Linked DNA regions of Coturnix japonica. The main gene of each other region encodes a partner of the protein of the gene in region 3 in a complex. Links are inferred from orthologs where the notes say so. Each region holds a gene or a part of one and is shown on either strand. Other genes may lie near its edges.

Region 1 (6,214 bases), on a different chromosome or scaffold from region 3:
TTCAAGAAGAAAGCAAAGAAATAGACAAGAACTAAAATGAGATTTTTCACCTCTAGAGTTTAACACAGGTAAATCTTTATCTGCAGAACTTTAATGGCATGAAGTTATCCCATGAAGTTCCTAGACAGCCACACAACTGACAGTCGGACCAGTGGCTGTAGAATCATCTTTGTACGTCACACATAATAGTGTGCTGTTCATCTCAGGCACTGCTCAGAAGCAAAGTAGTTAAACCACAGCTGATTCTAGATGGTGTGCACTCCTTCAGCTAATGCTACTAGCAAAGCTGCTGGCCCGGAGTTGAAGCATTTTACAGTTTCACAATGCAAGACACACACTGTTCTACTTAACCCTTCTGTGGGCTTACTCTGTGTCTGCACAAACATCCAGACAAACTTTTGACTTATGAACGAGCAGCAGAGTTAATTTAAAACTGTCAGCAAGTGCCATCCTAATTAAAAACAAATGACTAATTGCACAACTACAGGGCCTGTCGACACAGGCTACATACATCAACATCAAGCAAAGCAAACCCAGCTTAAATTTGAGGACACACCACCACCTAGTGTCCTATGTGAGTTAAACTCAAAACTGCATTCTACAATGACTCCATGGAGGAATTCAACAGGTTGTTTCCTAGATCCACCAATCCCTGCACAGATGGCAAACATGTGGATCACACGTAACAGCTGTATTTAGCCCTAATAACTTAAATCAGGGGTAGTATAATGAGAGATGCCTACTTACAAGACTAATACAAAACCCACTCTTCATTCAAGTATTAGTTTTAAGTTGCACAGAATTTCTTCTGCACACAAGGCACCTACATATGAAAATAGCCCCATGAACAGCTTTAAGGTAAAAAATTCTTGCAAACATTCTAACTTTCTAGAATGCAGTGCAAGAAATACACATGTGATAAGATATTTAAAAGGCTGTGTTCACTACTAACACTAATTATCAGCAACAGCTTTGGGTATCACTCCTTTGAGCTATCCCAATGCTAGAGAGCAGTTGTGAGAACAAAGGACACCTAGAGACCAGAGTTTGAAGGGTATCTATTTTATTGCCAAAACAAGTTATTACTTTTAAAAAAAAAAAAAAGTTACCACCTTGCATTTTTCACCCTTGCCACAAACTAGACATGGTAAGATAGGAAGATTTTAACTGGAGGACAGTGTCAAAGCAAGCTGCTTTTGATGACTGAATACGCGTAAGAACCCAGGCAAGTTCATAAAGCTGTGTGTTAAGGTATGTCAAGAAATGCCCAAGTCTATGTCTATAATATGCCTTTCAAATATACTCGTAAAACATTCCATAGCCATTCCAAGTAAAACATTCATTCCCCTTCCAGCCCCACCATGAGAATAAAGTGCAATCAGGAAGGCCTGAGAAACTATGTATTAAAAAAAGCAGTGTACAAGGCTCTTGTGCACCCACTGATAACCAGGAAGCATCTTTGGTTTTCTACAGAATTTAATGTGTTCAAGAACTGAAAATGGCTACAAATGGTGGCAAATGAATGCATAAATCAGGCTACTAAATTTGTTTCCTACTGATGGTATTGCTAAGCTTTGCTCTGCTAACAAAGCTGCAAGAGAAGCATCTGAAAAAGCTGTAAAAATTCTATTCTATCAATGCATTTTAAGCAGGACACAGAATTTCTCTCCTACAAGGATATGTTTACATAAAACCATAGATTAGTACACCATAGACCAACACAGTGTTGCCCTCCTCCAAAACATCAATCTGGAAAACTTCAGTATGGACAAAAATCAAAACACCAAACAAGTCACTGCTTTCTCAGGAAGCAAAGCCACATTATCACAACTTAATACAGCATTAGCACTAGAGAAGTTCATTAAAATCACCTTTTCAACAAAAACATAACACATCAAATCTGAAAGGTAAACCAAATTTATTTAAAACAAACAAAAAAAGACACTGCTATTCCCAAGATTGAAAAAACAGGGTGCTTTTACTTATGTCACACACAGCTCATTTACAGCAGTTACATTAATTCAGGGGAAAATGAGGTTTTCACACTGCTTCAGCTGACAGGTACTTTCTGCAAGAAAAACTCATTCCTCTTCCACAAAAAATAGGCAAAAACGTTCTATTAAAAAGTGTATGCAATTCTGAGACATGATCAAAACAAATCGTCCAAGAGCCTGAAACCTTCCAAGAAGGTTCAATCCTTGGTTGCTTCAGCCAACCCTCAGCGGGGGAGCTACAAGCACAACGCCGTCACCTCTGACAAAGAGCATCGGAATATTCCTTTTGGTAGACTATGAAGAAGCAAAGAAAAGATTACATTTACAAAAGAGAAGTATACAGAACACATCTACTAAGCATGTGACAAAATTCAATCCTAAAAAAACACCAACAAACATCAGCTCAAACATGCAACTTCGCGTCCTGCTGAAGATATCAAAATCAACAAGCACCTGGATGTCCTTTGTGCTTTCATAACAATTTGCCTAAAACACCTGCTAGATCCTAGTCCAAAAGGTGCAGTTATCAACACATTATTTTGACAACATGACAATCTAGATTGCAAGAAGTTTTCTATGGAGGTAAATACACTGAAGTCCTTACTTTATAAATCTCTTCGTATGTTTCTTCGTCAATCTCTATTGTTGTTACAGTTTCTTCCACATCGCCCAGAATCATATTTAAGTGCTGATCATATGCCTGTAGGAACAAAGTTCATTACTTCTTCCAAAATTCAAGCACAAGCTCATTAAATCCATAATTCTAGCAAGACACTCAAACAAAATTATTTTAACCTGATTTGGGTCAAGATGTTCCATGTGTGAACATGATGTATCAGCTGTAACTTCAACTATAAAGGCCAACATCAGTACTCCACAGCATAAGGAAGGCTCTTATACTCACTGAAACTCTCCTTCTGAAGCTCATGCACAAACTCTCAGAGGTGGACACACTTGTTCTTGTCGTTAGCATTAATCCAACTAAATATTATTTGCTATCAGCCCAGATTTCTGGGATTGGATTATCTATAGCTATGAGAGCTGTAACTCAAACAACAATACATAAATTTTAATTAAGCACTTGTTCCAAACACCCTACAAAGGGAACTTAGGAATTATACCAGTGCATCACAGATCTGTCCTCACCTTTTTGTTCTCAAATGTATTTGAGGCCCAGTTACCACATGGGAAACTGGTTCCCTTCCTCAGCACAGCACCACATTCCAGAAGGATAACACAACCAAACAGAAAACAAAAGTTTGTCTCACTAAGAGACATCGCTCTCAAAAGAAAACAAAGAACAAATCAAGTATGGAGAGAACCCAGCTGAGTACACATCCCAGCAGTCCTTGGGTTTGCTCTACAAGACAGTTGCTTGATATACTTATTTCCATCTTAACAGAGTCGAGAGTCCTTTATGAGATGATGCCTGCATTATTACTTAGTCCACAGACATGGGAATAAAAGCAAAAATCAAGAGAACGAATCACTTGGAATCATTTAAAAGACAACAGACACGGAAAAACAAAATGCACCTTTTGAATCTCTGGCAGAACACTGCACAAACCAAGCGCTGCTGTTGAGCACATTACAGTAACATAACAAATAGTTGCACATAACAGCACAGCCTGCTGCCTGCTTGGAATTGGCACTCACATGCAGCCTGCCTCTGAGCTCTCTGTCATTCCTCATCTTCACATAGATCCTCTCATCCAGACTGAGCCTGATGAGGTCGAGGGGCTCCTCGACGGTATTCGTTGTCTGTTGCTGAAAACAACACCGAAACAAGCAGTTATTCACGCAGGAGCAGTGAATACGAACTCCTCCACTCCTCAGTTTGCATTCTGAAACGCTCCCTCAAGTCCCAGTATCCACACAGAAGCAGACAGGCTGCATGGCTCAAACCAACACGGCAGCACGGCATATGGCAAAGGGAAGGCACACGGATGTGCCACCAACCCACCAGCTCTCTCTTCAGGCCCTCACCACCTCACTTGGCAGCCGGGGTGGCCGCAGAAACACCGCTCCCCCCTAAGAAAAGTAAAGAGCCATTCACCTGATCCACCTCGTCCGCCATCTTTCAAACCGCTTCTCGCTCTCTCTCGTGATACTTTATGGCCCGGCCTCTTCCCCCCGCTCTGAAGGGGCGGGGTAATGCTCGCCGCTATGGCGAGGAAGCGCAAAGCGTCGGTTCAGCGGGTGTCTGCCGGCAAAAGGCGGCCTGGAGGGGTGGGAGTACGGCGGGATGGTGCGGAGGAACGTGAGGAGGGTGAGTGTGGGAGGCTCGGCTTCTGGGGCTGCTCTGCTTTGAGGGAGGGAGGCAGTCAGCATGGAGCTCAGCAGCCCCCCATGATGGGCCGGGGCTGGAGTTGTTCAGTGCAGCTCTGCTGGAGCCTGCAGAGATATTGCTATGTATCCATAGGGATGAGGTTATATCCATGAAGAAAATTTCTTTCTTTTCGATGTAGGTGATTTTGTTGAAGAAAAACACAGTGTAAAGAAGAGCAGAGCCGGAGTTGCAGCTAGGAAGAAGGAGGAAGACAGTGATGCTGGAATTGCTAAGTTAGCAGAGAAGCCTTCAAAACAAAAAGGGGTAAAAGGGCGAGTGAAAGAAAATGAGAGAGACCCTGAAAATAAAGGGGATGATCACGAAGAGGAAAAGTGCAGGTAAGCTTAGCTGTTGTTCATCATGATGCGCTCTGTACCTCACTGTGGGTTGGATGTTGTGGTTGTTGTGGGTTGGATGTTGTGGTTGTTGTGGGTTGGATGTTGTGGTTGTTGTGTAGGGTCCATTGCCCTACAATGTTCACATAAAGGGGTTACGTTAAGCTGGCAGGCCAGTTTAGTTTGTCTGTGACACACAGCTGTACAGAAGTACTGCCTGGCTGATGGCAGGATCTGTCTGAGGAAGGCAGTCTGCATGGGAAGCAAATATCTGAGCCTTTTCAAATCAATATCGTAATTGTAAGATAGCGTTTCATTTATTTCTACACAAGACTAGGGAGGTTTTATGGCATCGAGCATGAACAGAAACATTGCTGTGAGATATATGGTCTTCCTGTAGAGATTTCAAGGGGGATTGTATTAATGAGAAGAATGAAGCTGCTTGGTCTCATTTCACTGGCCAACCAAATCATTGGGTGTTAGCGTAGTGAAACACAAGCACTTCCAATCCCAGTGCATTATGAGGTCTCAGTAAAGACAAATGATTCAATGAAGACATTCATACAAGCTGTTAGGAAAGATGGGTCATTGTTTTTAGGTTCAGTCATCTTCATTCAAACAACCTGTTAGAACCAGGACCTGTGTCTGCACTGAAACGTTGTTGTTCAACGAGCCTGTAATTATTCATGGCAAAGACTGCTCGCTTTACAGGCACACACACGGTTCAGTTGTCAAATACTTACAACCTTTACATCTGTTGTTACTGATGCAGAGATGATGCTTTGTTTATTTCCTCATTTTTGTTTTCATTCCCTTCCATTTTTAAATGAACAAACCCATGCACTTCCTGATGCTAAAACCATTCTTGTAATTTTAATAGTGACTCAGTGAAGGCCCCTCAGAAGGAGGTAAAGTTGAAGAGAGAATCTCCTATTAAAAAAGAGATGGATGAAGACAATACTGATGATGATGATGACGATGATGAAAGTGAAGATGAATGGGAGGACGTGGAAGGTAACAACTGCGTGTCTATTCTAGTTGTAAACATCCTTGTATGCAACAGGTCCTTTTTGAGCCATTCCTTGTTTTGTATACTTCTTATACTTAAGAGTATGCTTCATGTGCATATCTGGATTATAGGCTCTTATCTCGCAATACTTTGGAATAGTTCCAAAGTAGGAAAGAAACATACAACTGCTGTTTTGAAGGTAGTGCTTTGAATTTGACTATTTGTTGCTGTATTATTCATTGTTCATTCAATATCTAGTAACATTCTGTTTGTTTTTTCCCAGAACTCCAGGAGCCTCTTGTAGATAAGTTAGAAGAAGGTGCTGTTCTTCCTGAAGTTGTGCTGCCGAGCAATCCTGTTGAGATAGAGATTGAAACCCCGGAACAACTTATGAAGAGACAGAGAAGGTAAAAATGGAAGGTAGTAGAGAGCAGCTCAGGAATCTAGGAAGGCAGATAGACAGGAAGCCATAATATCCTTTTATTTTTTAATCTTATGCAGAGAGAAAAGGAAAGCTGAGTTTGAAACTTATGTTCGAAGAATGATT
Region 2 (6,111 bases), on a different chromosome or scaffold from region 3:
TGTCTCAGTAATGAGAGCCAAACCTCTTCGCTAATTAGCGAATGCCGAAGCTTCCCTTTAAAATATTCCATCAGCAAATTGAAGCTGCACATCAAAACAGCAGGGAACTCCACCTCAAAACAGAACTCAGCCCCGCTCTCCACAAGGTGGATATTTCCACAGCAGAGAAAATACTTGACTTGAAACGTTTGTCCAAAGAACCGCATCCAAAAAAGCTGCTGTGCCAAATGCTTTGGAAGCTGAAATAGGGGAAGGAGGAAAAAAAATAAAAGGAGCCTTCAGAATTGTAAAGGTCATTTCTGCGTGTTCAGAGCTGTTGGGAGGCAGCAAAGGGAGCAGCCGTCGCAGAGGGATTTTCCTCCTGCAGCCTTTGGGAGCTGTGGATGCAGCTCTTGGTGTGTCCCCAGGTCCCTCCCATCCATCCCTCACGTACTCACAGCACACACTGCTCATTAAGGGCACTCCGTGGAGACCTGGAGTTCCTTTTAAGCCCCGGATCTCCTGAGTTGAACTCAGTTTTGTTGTAGCAAGGCAGTTTGCCTGGCATTTAAGCTCCTACTGCAGGCTGAACTGAGAATCCCTGGGGCTGAGCACAGTGACCACAAAGTGAATTGTCAAGACGTGGCAGGAGGTGTGAGCACGAGAGAGAAATGCTTCTCAGGCATCCAGCAGGACTGTGCTCACAAAGGGCAGATATTTCCCCAGGCTGAAGTAGTCCAAGATAACCCAACCACGAGAAATGGGACGGGGAAGGCGGAGCAGGGTTGACCTCTTTCTATGTAAGTGGGAACCTTTTATCAGAAACATGAAATATTCATTTGGAACAGGAGGAAAACAAACCTTCAGATATCTGATGTTAAAAAAGAAGAAAGGAGCAGAGCACAAGATGAGAAATCCCATCCTGATGAGAAATCCCATCCTAATGGGAGAAAAAGATCTTTTCCTACCACTGGGATGGTCAAATTCAAGTCCAATTTCAAACAGAACAGCCACTTGTTTCCCTCCCACATCTGCAAAGCCAACAGACACCAGAAGTTTGGTGGGGCCGTGTTCTGTAACCAGCCAGGAGGGGCAGAACCAGACAGCTTCAGAGACTCCCTTAAGCTCCTGCCCAGCCCAGGAACGAGGCTCATCCCTGGCACGTCTCCTTTCTGCTCTTTGGCAGAGGCTGACTTAGAAGCCAGACAACACTCACTCAACTCGATCTTGCACAGGAGCAGCTCCAGCTTCTCATAGACCAACAGCTCTGGGTTCAAAACTGAGAAGCATCATCCCTTCCTTGCACAAGAGGTGGAATTTAAAGGCAGGAATCCCAGTCACCCCCTCTCTGAACTGAAAAGCAAAAAGGATCGTTACCTCGTCCAGCACCTCCAACACCGCGGCCTTTCTGCTGCTTCTGCTGTTGCATCCCACCACGGCCTCTGCCTTTGGAGACCACCTCTTCTTTCACCATGTCAATTATCTCATCGGGGATCCGAAGGTATTTAATTGTGCTGCCACGGATGTAACACTCTGGCATCCTCCAGAACTTGTCACCATCCTATTGGGAAGCAACGTGTTAAGCTGAGAACAAAACCACGTGCACTTAAGTTGCTTTTTGACACTTGAATATCTCCATCACTTCTGAAGCGTGCGACAGATGTAATAGTCTATTCTGAATGTACAACCCATAATTAGCTGTGAAATTCCTGTTTTCCCTTTAAAACACGCAGCCCTACAACCTGCTGGGGAGTCAGGGGGCGTTCAGCCATGAGCCACTGCAGTTTCAGCCCGTTCACAACCGCCTTTGACTCTCACAGAAAGTGAAGGAAGAAGAGGAAACAGCACCTTCCCTTTGCTTCTCATACAAGAAGAGAATCGAAAGTGGGACTGGAGAGGGAAATGTGGTAAGTTCAACACAGCTGCTGCAACACGGGGCAGTTCCAGCACATAAAGCCCCAACCAGAGTCACCTACAAACTGAACCCCTTTGTGGTGTGGATTGAGCAGCGAGGAGCATCCAGCTGGGTGTGGGGTGAGCCCAGCAGCGCACAGGAACCGCGGCTGTGGAAAATAAGAGCTTACAGATCACGTTCAAAGAAACCTTCGGGTGCCAAGTTACGGAGCAGCTGCCTCTGTGTTTTGTTTAAGGCAGTTTCAGGGCTTTGCTAGGACACAGCCCATCAGGGCTTCAGCTCCTGTGGCTGTGGGAATAGGAACTGCATGTGAAAGTTGAACAACAACTGATGTAAGCGGGAGGAGGGATGGAACCTCGTGCGCACGGCCGTGCTCTGCTGCAGGGCTTGGCTGAACACAGGCTCCTCACAACTATCACACATGGACAGAGTGTCCACAACATCCCAGAGGAGTGGGTGAAACCAGAATGCCTCGTTTCACCTCTCCAGAATCAAGTTGTACCCCCCTCCTCCTCTGCTCCGGTGTTATTTGGGGCAATGCAGCATGCACAGGCAAGTTCCGTGTGTGTGAGACAAGCAGCCTTCTTCAAACAGGCACCCAGCAAACCCCACCCTGCCTGGATCCGCCCGGCTGCACTTTGGCTCTCTATGCAGGAAGGGATGGAGCCAGGTCCCCGGCTTCCTCGTTCCAGCTCCCCATGTAAACAGCTGCCGCAGCTCCATGCCATCTAGTGGCTGATCCCCACCGTGCCACCAGGAAGGCTTCCATATATACCCCCCCAGTAGCACCCAGGGGGTATTTAGGGGTGGGGAGTGAACTGCAGACCACTCGGTGGGTATAAATGCTGAAGTGCTCTGCCCACAGCAACACAAAGCTGCTTAATGAGGAAGCAGTATTAAAGGCCGGCATCCCTTGTTCTGCAAGCACTAGTAAGGCTTTGCCACTTGCCACCCCTTCCCATTGAACTTATCTGTTTATCTGCCCCAACAATCTGTGGATCCAGATTTTTAGGGCTCACTGCTCTGCTGTTATGATCCTTCTTAAACCTTTGCTTTGTTTAAGTACACACATCACATCTCCGTGCCCCAGCACTATTGGCCAATACCTTCCTGCTGTGGGTCCAACAGGCACAGAAACCCTTCCTGAAGAAGAAGGGTTTCCCTGACAGCCTCCCCCACAGACCCGTGATGTTCCCAGGCACAGAGAGCAGCAGCAGCAGCAGGAACGTGGCCAGGCACAGGCTGCCAGGGACAAGACCAGACACTTGAGGCTGAGGTCAGAGCTCAAAGCACAGATCCCAATCTCTTCTCGGAGCACTTTGGCCATGGGCAAAAGTAGCAGACGAGGCACAACCCGGTTAAACAAGAGGCCCTAATAACTTTTGATGTGGAGTTACAGGGCGTGAGGCAGGTGATGATGAAAGGCAGCACTGTGCTCGATGGGGCTGCATGGAGCGGGCAATGGGACAGGACCTGTCACCAGCCCTTCACACTGAGCACCTTCACCCTGCTGTCAATGGGCTCATTCGTTTCTTACACCTCATAACTGCGTTACATTCACATTCAAAGCAAAAGCAACACACACAGAAGGGTGAGGATCTCTGCGAGTCCCACTCAGCTGCAGGGCTGGGGGCTGATAGCAATGTGGGGTCTATGGGCGCAATGGGGGGTCTATGGGCGCAATGGGGGGGGTCTATGGGCGCAATGGGGACAACTCATTCCTGATCTGCTTTGATGCTGTTCAAAGTAGGGGGTCTATGGGCGCAATGGGGGTCCTGGCATTGAGCTGGTTACCCGTGAGGTGCAGATGACCTCCCGCAGGTTGATGTTCATCCAGTTGTCGCAGCTCACCAGGTGCCCGTTGTACGTCTCGCCGTTCTTCAGCTCCACCAGCTGGAAGAAGCAAAGGGGGGGGGTCAGCATGAAGGAACCGGGACCGACGGGGCGGCACGGGGACCCAACGGGACCCGACGGGGCGGCACCGGGCCCATAGGCCGCAGCGGGAGTGGGCCGGGACTCACCATAGGGTGGTTCTGCGCCGTCTTCAGCAACGACAGGGGCAGCTGCGGGGGAAAGAGAGAAAGGCCTCAACAACCGGGAACCGGGACCGCCTCGGATCCCCATGTAGGGGCTCAGGGAGTACCGGGACAACCGAACCGGCCCGGCCCGGCCCATTCCCGCACTCACCATCGTGCCGGAACCGCGGAGCCGCCGCCGCGCCGGGCGCTGCCGCTCAAACCACCCCCGGCCCCACACGGGACCAATCAGAGCTCGGCGCGGTCCTCGCGGAGCCAATCAGCGTGCAGGACCCGCCTCGGCCGTAAAGCATCGCCGAGGTTGGCGGTGCACAGCGTCACGACAGTGCCGTAAATTGAAACGCCGAGCGGGAAGCGGCACGGAGCGGCGCTCAGGAGGCGCTCTAGGCAGCGAGGCGGCGCGCACTCTATGGTCGCGCGGGGCCGCTCTGGTCCTCGGGGCGGCGCGTATTCTATGGCCGCGCGGGGCCGCTCTGGGCGTCGGGGCGGAGCGCGCTCTATGACCGTGCGGGGCCGGTCGCTCAGTGCGGTGCGGGAGCGGAGATGGAGAAACCGCGGAGGGCGGTGGTGGTAACGGGTACGGGCGGATGGAACGAGACCGGGGGGTGGGGAGGGGACGGCAGGGTGGGCTCTGATTCCATTATCTCAACGGGGGGGATGCGGGATTGGGAGGGGGCGGTGAGGGGCACATGGGGGTGTCGGGGTCCTGGTGGGGGTGTACGGGGATTGGGAGGGGCGCGACGGGGCTGCGGCGTGTCACAGACCCCTCCGGTTATACCCCCCCCCCCCGGTCCCCGCTGTATTTGTCCCATCTCTTGCCCCGGGGGGGTTGGGGGGTGGTCTCTGCTTCAAACATTCAGAGCTGATGGTGCTGGATCTGCCCCTGATGGTCGCACTGAGACCCCATTGCAACCCCATGAAGGTCTGCAGGGTGGGCTCAGTGCTGTGTGCCCGGCAGGACCCTGTGCTGGGTGTGGGGTGGCTGAGGCTGGGTTTGGTGCTACCCATAAAGTTGCTCATCTGATATGCAAGGAATCGATCTGGGGGTCGGTGTGGAGGATGAGTGAGGGGGCAGCTCAGTTGGGTTCAGAACGAGAGGTTTTGGTTACATTGGGGTACCTGGAAAGCTGGTGTGATTCATATTGAAACCATCCCAATGAAACACCTGTTTGGTGCTCTCACATCTATAGCTTATATATGGAGAAACAACAAGTGCATTAGGATCCTGTGGGAGCCTTCAGGAGGGTTATTATGGGGAGATATTGATGCTGGTTCCGCTTGGAGGCTCAGGTTGATACTGAGATCCCATTGAGCTGTACAAAGCCCTGTTGCTGTTGTGTGCGGTGTAACCTCAGCCCTCCCCTTCTGCTGGCAGCACATGGGAGGTTTCCATTAGTGTGTCATGTAATATTTGTGGTCCTGACTTAGATGCAGTGCGTGCCTTCTGATTGCATTAGGCTCACAGGGTAGCTCTGCCATCTGAAATTAAAGCATATCGATCCCACGCCCAGATAAATGCCCAACCTTTGTGTGCTCGCTCAGGGAAAGATGTGATGGGTTACTAGTTAACTCCGAGTTACTCATTAGGAAATGCAGATTTGGGGACGTAAGTGTTTTTATAGCGTTGTGTAACCTTTGGTGCTCGGTGCAGGTGGGTCAGCAGTGCTTTGTTTGGTTCCTATTAAGGCAGAAGGGATTTTGGTGAAGGTGTGAGCAGAGAAATGCTGGATGGAGACTTGTCTGTGTTTGTGGGCTGTTACAATCAGGGTTAGAAGATCCAATCATGATCCCCATTCTATGCCATCACTCAGCTCCTCCATAGCTAACAAGTGTTCCTAACCTGGTCAGCAATACACCCCCAGTAGGGACTGGGTGTTACAAGCAGTGGCTTTTCTTTCAGAGCACATCAACAGCTGCACTTGGTGCTTCTTGGGTTTAAATCCAAGGTGCAGGGCTCAGCTGCTCACCGGGGGCTTTTCTTCTCTTGCAGGGTTTGGTCCCTTTGGAGAGCATGCTGTCAATGCCAGTTGGATTGCAGTGCAGGTAATGCTGTCACTTCATCCTTGGAGCATCCATTAGAGCAGCACCATCCCCTGCATCCCATGCATCCCATGCATCCCCATGCACCCCCTGCACCCCCCTGCACTCCCCTGCACCCCCTGCATGCATTCCAGCTGTGGC
Region 3 (5,601 bases):
GTGACTTGTAGTCTGCATTCCAGGAAGGGTCACCGCTGAAAGAAAACTGACATAGCAGAAATTTGTGCATGGAGAAAACAAACAGCACAAAGTAGCTTAAGATTAGAAGTATCTGACAATAGAGAGAAATAGATGAAGAGATGAATAGAGAGAAAAGATGAAGAGTACAGCATCAGACACTTAAAATGCAAACATCAACCAGCAGAAATGGTCCATGTTTTCAAAAATACTTAAAACGTATCCTGTAAAACCAAAGTAAGCCTATCTGAAAGCATGCTAAAATTCCATCTGAGGGGCACCAAGATGGTTTTCAAACCCAGCAGTAGAAAAGGACTCAATGTGAACATATTACTGTCCATGCTGCACTCCCAAACCCACCAGGAGAGCCTGAGGGCAGGCTGACATCCCTTGTTCTGAATCAAGGTAGAGCAGCAGATTTGCAGTTACTAGGAGACAGCTTGAGAGCTGCTACTTGCTCTGAGGCTCATTAGAGCTGCTGCAGCCAGCATCACGTGGTCGTGCTCAAGTGCAATGTCTCATCAGGGATGCAGCTACACACACCAAAATGAGTGTCTTTACTACATCAGGACGGGAACTTACTTGGCCACAGCCAACAGAACGTGTGGGTCGTGCTCACACTTCTTCAGGGCATCCACACTCTTGGTCTTCCGTTGTGGTCGCGCTTCAAGGAAAATTGCCTCTGACCACAGGATTCCTTAATCAAGTGAAGTAGAAAGATTTAGTGTGAATCAGAGATTAATCCTCCCCATCATCAGGCCAGCGCTCTATGAAGTGAGCAGCACTACTGTGCCCACCCCAGAAGTTATCCCTGCACCTCCACCTTGTCTCAAATCGCTCTTTCATCATGGATGCTTCATTCAATACTCTGAAATTTAGCAAAGGACCCTCAGTTCTGAATGTTTCTGTACCACAACAGCAGTGTGCACGAGCACAGAGCTTAAGCCTTTCCAATTAGACACCGCACACAGCAGAGGGGAACTCAGAAGCAGCAACAAGCTGGTCTGAATGGAAAGCTACAGTGGCAGGTGAAGTCCCACAAGGTGTAAAGTACACCACTTGGGAGCAGTTTCAAAGGTGCCAAAGAACACCACAGTATTATTGATGCTGGCTCTCCACACATATGACGAAGGACACGGTAGGGCCAGGAAAGCTGGGTTTAATCCCTAGTTCCTTTCACTGCCAAAAGCAAGAAAGGAAACATGCTCAGAGGAGCATGAAATCTTCAGTTTCTAACGCCAGTCAACCATACCTGTTGATCACTTCAAGGCAAAGCCTGAAAGCTTGGGTCTGCCAGGACTCTATCAAAGCACTCTCACTTCCCATAAACTGCACATGGGAATTAACACACTCAGATGACAGCAGTGACAGACTGCAGCAGAACTCTAGATTTGCTCTTTACATAGAGTCAAACCATTCTCACAGACCTCTATTTTCAGTCCTGCTGAGGACACAAACACTGATGTATTTCAGTTCATGATTTTATCCTTTGTGCCATCTATGTCAGCCACAAGCAATGGTAATCAGATCAGCAACTGATGGACGCGGGTCAGGTTTACACAATTGTAGGTGTCTAACAAACTCAATCCTGCAGGTTTTTCTTCCTGGTTTGTAAACTTTTAAGAGTTGGGAGTTATTTTATTTAAACAGAATCTGAGATCTTACTGCCTATTTCTATAGCAACAGGCAGAATCTGCAGAAGAGCCTGAGGTGGCAAACACAACAAGTGTTAGGTCCTTCATAAAATAAAGCTGGTATTACTTTGTTGGCCCACTCACAAAGCAAGCAGCTTGCAGTGAGTTGATCAAGCCATAAAAGTCACTTAACTCCCATTACTTCACTGGGGTGACTTAAGCAGTCATCAACTAAATACCTTTCAAAACCAGCCTGAAGGCAAACTAAAAAGACTTGCCCTGTGGTAGGTTACCACACTTTCTACTGAAGTGACATCTCTCCAAAGATGTCAACACGTTCAAAGAATTAAAGCCTTCCCACAATTCTGTCAAAAAGGAAAAAAAAGAAAGGAAACTTCCATTTTCTCCTCCCATCCCAAGAGGCAAATGTTTCCACTGCTGGTTAGAACCAACCAACTTCGTTAAGGAAAGGCAAATAGAGCTTATATGATGAGCTAAAATAATCAAAACCCATTAGTAGTGCAATCAGTGTGGGCAAACCAACAACAGGAAGTCTCCTATGGTCAATTATACCCCAATGAGACAGGGGAAAAAACATCCTTTTTCCACCAAACTCCCTAATTACAAAAGCTTGAGAGTCTTTCTTCAGTTTTAAACCTTGGCACAGACTTCTACCAGCCTCAGAGAAAAGCCACCCATGTCCATGATTATTTTGCATGAAACCTCTTGACAAACTGTGGACCACAAAATCGATGATGCCAACACCAACCCATGTTCCCTTCAGTGTGAAGCACTACAAAGTAACCAGGATCATTCACAAAGCCCCCCCCAACCCTCCCTTTGCAGGAGAATGGCTGTCACTTCTCTAAAATGCATTATTCTGAGACATGGCCAGAAAGGCCATCTTGGATAAAGATAATCCTTTACTAACTGAGCAAACACATAACCAGGTTTAAGATCAAAATGACACCCAGCTCACCTGAATTAGGGCATTCTTGCAAGGCCTTGGCCATCAGAGTATTTGCAATGTTCTTCAGCCCAGCTCTGTACTCCAGTCGCACAGACTCTAACCTGGTAATAAAGAAACCCAGTGATGATATTTATTGTAACACATTCACTCTGTAACACAAATCAACTCTGAGTCACATGAAAGTCACTGGAAATTACAAACATGCCCATATGAACACATGCACCTTACTGACTTCTTCCCATTCCTCCCCATTAAAAAACACATTTTGCAATGGCCTAGTCCATTTCTCATATCATTTTTAACCTATGATAGAAACAAAAGACCCCTTGATTTTCATGTTCTCTACACTGCAACTATCTGTAAAGAAACAACAGGTCCCCAGCTCCTCAGAGTAGCCACACAGCAGCCAGAATCTCCAGAGCCCTTCTTCAGAAGAAGTGCTAGGATAGGTGTGCTCATAAGTTCTGTGATCAAATAACTGAGGTGTGAGATACCTCATGCATGCATCGATCTTGCAGCTCAAACTAAGTTCACGTCTACACAACTCACCAGAGATCCGCATTCTTTGGATTCTTTAGGCGAGACTTTTCCAAGATAGCCCTTGCTCTGGTCAACTGTCCCACCTTCTCTTCCAGTCTGGACAGCAAAAGCCACAGAGGGATGGAATGGGGACACTTTTTCAGCTGTTTAATATGATAACAAAAGGTACGGTTACTATGCAGATCTGAAAACATTATAACCCCCATAGAAAAGGAATCCCTTCCTTGAATCTTTCTGAGGAGTTCAGAAGTGAGATAAGTGACCACATCTCTCAGATTTCTCCTAGTTAATCATATAGCACTAAAACAGTAGAAATCTAGTTTCTCCTATAACCAAAACACCAAGAACACCACTATGACTAAACTTCCTCAATGCCAAGCAAAAAGAAAGAATACACCTCCCTTAACAGTACATCTATGACCTGTGCTCCATCTAGAGATGGAGAGCTCTAATAAATAACAAAATCACACCTGCAGAGTACGCAGGAAACGCATTGCCCTTGAAGCTCACAAAGTCATTAGGATACAGACACCGGCAGAAACCTGCTTCCCTATTACTTGCAGGGCAGATGAGTTTCAGGAGCATTCCTACAGGACGCCAATTACCATTTAGAAGACACATGAGTACTCAGCAGACAATCTCCTTTTACAGTGTTTACCTAACCTTATTAGCAGGGTCTTCTGTTAAGAAGTTCTGCTGTTTAGTCGTTGCAGGTCTTAGAGAATTATTGTGTAATGACTTCATTCCTGCTAGTGAGTAGTCAAGCATACAGCAAACTCTCTCAAGCAAGAAAGCGAATTCTGCACACACACACCAGCTAAGAGATAAATTCTCACTGCTTATTTCAACACCCTAATAATTTTCTCTTACTGTTTTAACCAATGACAGGGAGAGAAATCACCTCCACTGTTAATATGGGACAGAGCCCTCTCCATCCTGATTTGAAGACAGACATCTGTCCATATCACAAGCACAAAGCAAGCTTACAATAACATGCATCTTACCCCTTGATTGTAAGCCTCCCTTGCTTTCTCTACCAGCTCCTTTTGTTCCTCGATTTGTCCTTTCATCATCCACAGTTTGGGAAAGTCCTCATAGTGTTTCAGGGCTTCCTCACAAAGCTCCTGTGCCGCAGCAATGTTTCCCAGCACCCATTCCAACTTCACAGACTTCATGAAGACCTGACAAAGAGACGGAGCCGTTTATCACTGGGGAAGAAACAAAAGCAACAAAAACAAGAACTCTGCCAATGCAGTGGGTTCCCATGTCTGTGCATACATTGGGAAGTTATTCATGAGCCTTAGTTTGGAGCAGAAGGCTCCATGACTGACAGGAGAAGAGGACAATCTAAAAGGTCCAAATCTCCACACAGCAAACCAGGTTTTTTCCTCTTACTTGGTCAAATCGAAACGATTCTGTATGCACAGCTAAATATTGACAACATTTATCACAGCAGAAGTAACCGTAGAGATAAACACAAGACTGTAACTTTAAATAAATCCGATGAGCACCGTCTTTAGCACAGCATAATTGAGTCTTCTGCAAAAAATATTTTCACTCTCTCTTCTCCAAGACACGCTTTTATGCAACATGAACATTATACAAACAGCTGTAAACTGGGAATTTCCTGACTTTTGCCATTTGTGTGAAAAAATGTGAAACCCTTCACTTGATCCCAGCCTCTGTTCCCATCATGCTGCAACCGAGTGTTGCAATTTGCTGGAGAAGTGCTACGGTGCCTGCAAAAGGCAATGGCAGGGAGCCATCTGGTCAATCACTTGAGGCCACAGAACTGAAGGAGCTCCTGCTTACGACTCAGCTCCCCCATTGCTATGAGAAGCCTTGGCCTCTCCACCCTTCACACATCCCTACCCTTGCAGTGGGGGCACTGCTGCGAGCTTTTGCCAGCAGCCTCCTCGCTCTTTCATATTCATTGTTTTCCGACTCGAGCTTGACGGCAGCCAGCCAGATCTCCTCGCTGTTGGGGTTGGCCTGCAAGAACACAAAATGACAGACAAATGCATACAGTGAATCAACAGCAGATTTAATCCTTCGTTTGATCCAGATTAAAATTGAAGTCAGAGCTCTGTCAATCCACATTAGGACTTCTTTTCCCATTCAAGCTCCTCCCAAACTTCTTTGACCTTTGAAGTTCATAGAAATTCTACGAAACAGATGCGCAACACAAAGATGTGTTTCAGTTGAAAAGTTGGACGTCTCTCAACTGTTGAAAAGCGTTAATGCTTGATCTCCTGAACTCGCAGTTTAACTACTGCAAAAATCAGAGAGTCTGTCACAGTGAGACCCTCACTTCATTATCTCTGAACAAAAAAGCTGAAGCTCAGATTCCCAGCAGAGAGCTGTGAACAGCACTCCTCCAATACAAGTCATTTTTCAGTAACAATCATGTCAAGAAATCTTCAGAATATTCACAGAAAG
Region 4 (5,143 bases), on a different chromosome or scaffold from region 3:
CACAGCACAGCACAGCACAGCTCCCGCTGCTTCAGCTTCACCTGGTGTCACCGGTTGGGTTGGAGCTCAGTGTCCCCCCATCTATCCCTTTGGTCAGTCTTCTGCAGCAGCAGATACCCTTCCTTAGTCAAGTGCTGGGGTTTTGTTTGCACATTTGGATAAATGGTGAAAACCTTTTTGGGGTCTGAAGTGCTGTTTTGGGGTCTTGAAGTGCTGTGGGAGGTGCACATTGATGGGGATGAAGGCAGAGATGTGCTCTGAGGACCAGCGAGGAGCTCCTTAACCAAAGCCACCTTCCTCTCTCTGTAAAACCCCTCCGTGCTGGCAGGTGGCAGTGACAGCCCGAGCTCTGAGTGCTGCTTGTTGCCTTGCAGCTGTGGGACCTACGGCAGACCAGGAGCAGAGTGTGTGAGTACAGAGGGCATCTGCAAACCATGGCCTCATGTGTCTTCCTCCCACGAGATCCTGCTCTCACCCCCTGCATTGCCACGTCCTCACACGACAGCAAAGTGAAGGTCTGGGACCGGGACACTGGAGGTAGGCAGGGCATTAATTCAGGATAGGATAAAAAATAGAAATCTGATCATCTCACCTGGTGTTGGAGTGACTTTTCTCTTCCCTCCTCAGCCTGCCTGGCCACCACATGTCTTGAGGGAGCCGGACCGCTGTCCTCGCTGGCTGCCTGTGATGGCTCCACGCTGCTCTGTGCCAGCTTCCACTCAGGGATCCACGTGCTGCAGCTGAGACACCTCGAGGAGCTGGAGCTGGAGGAGGTGGCAACACTTTGACCGTAGGATCCTTCCCAGCAGACTGCCCATGGGGATCTGATCCCCAAAGTCCACTGACAGCAGGCAATGGGTGACCTCGTGCCTGCAGGGCAGTGATGCAGATGATGGTGCACAGGGGGCGCTCACTATTTGCTTGTGGGTGGTGGGAAGCAGTTAGAGCTGGCTAGAAGAGAAGCTGAACCAGTGATGCACTCAGGCCAAATTCTCACTCCGGAAAGAGTACTGTGGGCTTGAGTCATAAAACCCCCACAAAACCTGGCTACAAAGGGGTTTAATTGCTGTGTTCTCTTGTGTAAGCCTAAATATCCAGCTATGTGTGCTCAAGTTCAATGAATGCTTTCTCTTTTCTCCTGAAGATATTTTAAGATAGACAGAAATCAAACCATGTATCACAACACCCATGTAATCCTTCCACTTCTTAGTCAGACCCAGAAGCAAGTGCACACGTTCAAGCCACATTTTGACTTTCTAGAACACATCTGATATCTTCAGTTTAAAGAATAAACAACAAATAAGTGGATGTTATAACAAGATGACCCTACAATGAAGCAGCTTTCTTTGCATCAACCTCAGGTGAGACGCATCAAAACCTTCAACAGGAGAAACACCCAATTTGTGAGACAGCTGAAGGAGCCGGGACATGAGATGTGCACTGAAACATCCTCTGCAAGTGGAAACAAAGGAGATACAGGCCTCTATGAGACCAACCTGCAGAGGAACTGTGGTACGCTCTCCTCTCACAGCTAACTCTGCTTTATTTTCAGAAGACAAAGACTGCTGTTAAAGCATCCTGGAAAACAAGGTAAGAAAACAGAGGACGTACAACACAGTACATGAAGTGCTGTGTGAGCCCTGCACTAGTGCGAAACAGACCAGAGCAAACACATGAGCCTGTCTTGGAAGGGAGGTGGAAGAAGGTGGTTCATCTCCAAATTACTGCAGAAAACCACTATCTGCAATACAAAACAAGTCCTAAAAAGTGGAAGAACATCATCCCAGCTTTGACTCCAACCAAGCCCTGGTCAGCACAGATGCTTCAAAACCACCTCAGCCAGGAAACCAAGAGCTACTGAGCACAGCCACTGCGATACATGTTGCAACAGCCAATTCCTTTCCTTTTAAAAAAATTTAATATACAAAAACCCAGCTCTTAGTTCTAAGCCATTATTATCGTCTCTGTCCCAGTTCATCATCAGTGCCTCTGAGCTACTCTGCTGTCCACAACTTGAAGGTTCTGTCATAGGAGCACGTTGCTATCAGCTGGCCATCGAGGGAGATGTCCAGTCCCATCACCTTTCCCTCATGACCAGCCAGTGTTTTCAGAGGGGACCAGCCAGGGTGAGTCCAGATCTTGGCAGTGTTATCATAGGCGCCTGTCAGCAGGAAGTTACCGTGATTGGCTGCAGTTGAGGGAAAAAAAGGGAGAAATTAGTTTTGCAAATAAATACATGACAAATCTTCTACCACTACTCACTACTGATCCTCCGGATCCAAGGATGTGATTTTGAGTTGCCCCATTCCCTGCCACCTCAGTAGAGAAAAAGCAGGAACATGGAACATCAGACAGGAGATACTTACGTTCAAATTTCACCCCAGTCACCAGGTTCTGATGGGCAGGAATGGTGTAGATGCACTTTCTCTGCCGGAGGTCCCAGACCTTGCAAGTATTGTCACCACTGCCAGTTGCAACGTGGTATCTGCCAAGGAAGAATGTGTTGGAAGCTGAGCTTTGTACTCAGAGCTCCCACACAACACATGCAAGCTCCTGTCTTACCCATTTGGGGAGAAGTTAAGTCCATAGATCTCCTTCAGGTGGCCTTCCAGAAACATGATACAGCGCCCGGTGCGCAAATCCCACACGCGGCCAAAAGCATCCAGTCCACTGAGAAGAGAAAACCCAAACAGCATCACCCTCCAGACTTCAGCAGCTGACAGAACACCAGTACTGTGGCTTTTGGAATCAGTGAGCAACAAAATCTTGGTAATGTTTCTCATACAGTCCTGATGCAAACAAACTCACCCCGTCCCAGCAAGAGACCCGTCCGTGTGAAAGGCGATGTCATAGACCCCTTTGCTGTGCCCCTCCTGATGGAGAATCTCTTCCTGGGCTTCCAAGTCCCACAGGCGCCACGAGTGATCGTAACTTTATAACAAAGAAAAAAAAGCATTAAAATCTGATCACATAATCCTATTTGAACTGGGCACACACACACCAGCTGTCAGGACATTCACTCTGCCTGGTCCATTGAGCATTAGGAAATCACAGCCAGAAATGAAGCTATAAATTCAGAAACGCAAAGATCCTCAGCACGCTCCTGGGAGAGCAGGGAGCTTCCCCACTTCCACATCAGTGTAGCATCCTTAAAGTTTAAGTGTTGCTCCCTTAGCACTTGAAATCCCCTGAGCAGCAGCAACCATTTCTGCTTCTGGAACTGGACTTTCAGATCACCTTTGTACTGTTTAGCTCCGGTTCAGTCCCCCTCTCCCTCAGCACCACTGTCCTCCTCAGACCACCTCCTGTCCACTGTGTCCAACTGGGTCTCACGTGAGGTGCAGGGAAAGGAAGGCTTTCATGAATCCCAGTGACTGTAAGTAATAGCATCTTAAACAAGCAAAAAAAACCCATCAGAATCCCCTTACCAGGTAGTGCCCAGGAACCTGCCGGAAGGGTGCCACATCACACGTGCCACTCGCATGTTGTGGCCTTCAATATCTGCCACTGGTTCGTCACTGAAAGACACAAGATCAGACACTGGTCAGGGTGGCTGACTCAAGCCAAACCTTTGCAGCTGTGACCACAGTGAGACAGACTTTAATGCAGGCCAGACAAGAAAGTCAGTGTTCTGACTATTGACTCTAAACACTGCTTTCTGCTCACACAGCTGAAGCTCTAAGTGAAAGCCCTTTATCCACATTCATAACCTCAGCAGTAAGTTCTCCTGGAACAATTAGTTTCAAAAACTGACAAGGCCCTTCATTAATCTGAAAGCGTCAACAGCAAAAACTGTCTTTGCTGTCACTACACAGAACATCCCATACTGCAGCAAACTCTGCTATGCTGAAGAAAGCCAGGGCAGGCAGGATAGAGCAAATATTTATTCTCCCAGAGCTATGTGCAGCAGCCTGCAGTGGAAGAGCAGAACAGTACAGAGAATATCTTTGCAGCAGACTAAAGAAATGTGGTCACGTGAGACTAATAAACAACTGTCTTTCTCTGCTCAAGGAGGCTGGGAATTGCACTGGTGTTACAATAACAGGCTGTGTTTGCCAGGAGGAAAGTAAACGTCCATTATTTCATAAGATAAACCCCAAACAACAACACTGCATCTATACATGCCACTCTGACCTTTCAAGGCTCCAGAGTTTGACAGAACCATCAGCTGCACACGAGGCCAAGTTAACATCCTTCTTGTCGAGGGAGACAGTGGCTTTGGGATGGAAGACTATTGCTCCTACGTTGGTGCTGTGTCCTTAAGAGAAAGGAAAATCAAAATCCAAATTACAATTCCACTGGCACCCATTTAAGAATATCAAACACTGAGATTTGCAGCCTTCTAAACACAGTGAAAATTCACCAGATGTGAGTGAAGAGATTTGTATTTAGTTGTGCCCACGTTCAGAGAACCTCATTGGTACTACGTGGTCTGACCAAGAATGTTAATACTTGGCTCAAAATAACTCAAACCAGGTTTTGAAGTGAAGCAAAATATAAATCATCATCCAGAAATGGAAACAACAAACTCTGTTTTTTTCTTTAAGAGAAAGGTCAGGACTTTCTCTGGACTATCTGACACATTTTCAGTCACAAAACAGTTCAGGCACAGGAATTCAGCATAGAGAGGAACAAAAGAATTACACAGGATATCAGTGAAAGTCATTCTTTACCTCGTAAGGTGTGAACAAGGTTACAGTCAGGCACAGACCACAGCTTGCACAGTCCACTCCTGTTGAACACAAGAAACAGAAGTCAGTGTAGACAGGAACATCAAACAGCTTATCAAACAAACTACACCAAGGGCTTCTGCAGTGGGAAAGTGGCAGTCTGACAAAACAGCATCTGACATGGAAACACACATGGAGCAAAAGGTGTGTCACTGAATTCCTCCTTGAGGACAAAATGGCACCTGCTGACATTCATCGACATTCCTGAATGTTTATAGAGACGAAACACTCAGTGCGGACCAGGCAAGCCAAAAGACTGGACACCATGCCCTAAAGTAAATGCTTTGAAGAGAACTTACCAACAGGCAGTAGCCAAGAGTTTGGAATTGGGACTGAAGTGGCAGTAGGACAGCGGGCGATCGTCCCCAATCTGACTACAGAAGTTATTCAAGGACTGCAACAAAATACAGAGA

The links. Proteins that work in one complex are often made in the same cells at the same time.
Region 1: PRPF6 (region 3) and LSM3 share a complex: the UniProt entries of both Homo sapiens proteins name them as parts of the U4/U6-U5 tri-snRNP complex. The link is inferred for Coturnix japonica from reciprocal best matches to the Homo sapiens genes PRPF6 and LSM3.
Region 2: PRPF6 (region 3) and LSM4 share a complex: the UniProt entries of both Homo sapiens proteins name them as parts of the U4/U6-U5 tri-snRNP complex. The link is inferred for Coturnix japonica from reciprocal best matches to the Homo sapiens genes PRPF6 and LSM4.
Region 4: PRPF6 (region 3) and PRPF4 share a complex: the UniProt entries of both Homo sapiens proteins name them as parts of the U4/U6-U5 tri-snRNP complex. The link is inferred for Coturnix japonica from reciprocal best matches to the Homo sapiens genes PRPF6 and PRPF4.

What each region holds. Positions count from the first base shown.
Region 1 is NC_029527.1:8,366,588-8,372,801, reverse strand, and holds LSM3 (U6 snRNA-associated Sm-like protein LSm3), read right to left. Parts: upstream 4,149-6,214; 5' UTR 4,072-4,148; coding exon 4,051-4,071; intron 3,762-4,050; coding exon 3,651-3,761; intron 2,695-3,650; coding exon 2,599-2,694; intron 2,289-2,598; coding exon 2,208-2,288; 3' UTR 1,900-2,207; downstream 1-1,899. Other genes in the region: XPC (DNA repair protein complementing XP-C cells), read left to right, coding at 4,149-4,263, 4,463-4,661, 5,539-5,672, 5,951-6,074, 6,169-6,214. UniProt on the Homo sapiens protein: Plays a role in pre-mRNA splicing as component of the U4/U6-U5 tri-snRNP complex that is involved in spliceosome assembly, and as component of the precatalytic spliceosome (spliceosome B complex).
Region 2 is NC_029543.1:3,005,275-3,011,385, reverse strand, and holds the start of LSM4 (U6 snRNA-associated Sm-like protein LSm4), read right to left. Parts: upstream 4,200-6,111; 5' UTR 4,085-4,199; coding exon 4,082-4,084; intron 3,958-4,081; coding exon 3,916-3,957; intron 3,788-3,915; coding exon 3,689-3,787; intron 1,541-3,688; coding exon 1,357-1,540; intron 1-1,356. Other genes in the region: PGPEP1 (pyroglutamyl-peptidase 1), read left to right, coding at 4,474-4,507, 5,921-5,973. UniProt on the Homo sapiens protein: Plays a role in pre-mRNA splicing as component of the U4/U6-U5 tri-snRNP complex that is involved in spliceosome assembly, and as component of the precatalytic spliceosome (spliceosome B complex).
Region 3 is NC_029535.1:8,470,671-8,476,271, forward strand, and holds part of PRPF6 (pre-mRNA-processing factor 6), read right to left. Parts: intron 5,155-5,601; coding exon 5,035-5,154; intron 4,344-5,034; coding exon 4,167-4,343; intron 3,306-4,166; coding exon 3,172-3,305; intron 2,724-3,171; coding exon 2,632-2,723; intron 716-2,631; coding exon 601-715; intron 1-600. UniProt on the Homo sapiens protein: Involved in pre-mRNA splicing as component of the U4/U6-U5 tri-snRNP complex, one of the building blocks of the spliceosome.
Region 4 is NC_029532.1:808,998-814,140, forward strand, and holds the end of PRPF4 (U4/U6 small nuclear ribonucleoprotein Prp4), read right to left. Parts: intron 5,125-5,143; coding exon 5,030-5,124; intron 4,733-5,029; coding exon 4,674-4,732; intron 4,259-4,673; coding exon 4,135-4,258; intron 3,519-4,134; coding exon 3,429-3,518; intron 2,932-3,428; coding exon 2,809-2,931; intron 2,671-2,808; coding exon 2,563-2,670; intron 2,486-2,562; coding exon 2,367-2,485; intron 2,189-2,366; coding exon 1,995-2,188; 3' UTR 1,900-1,994; downstream 1-1,899. Other genes in the region: WDR31 (WD repeat-containing protein 31), read left to right, coding at 375-537, 628-788. UniProt on the Homo sapiens protein: Plays a role in pre-mRNA splicing as component of the U4/U6-U5 tri-snRNP complex that is involved in spliceosome assembly, and as component of the precatalytic spliceosome (spliceosome B complex).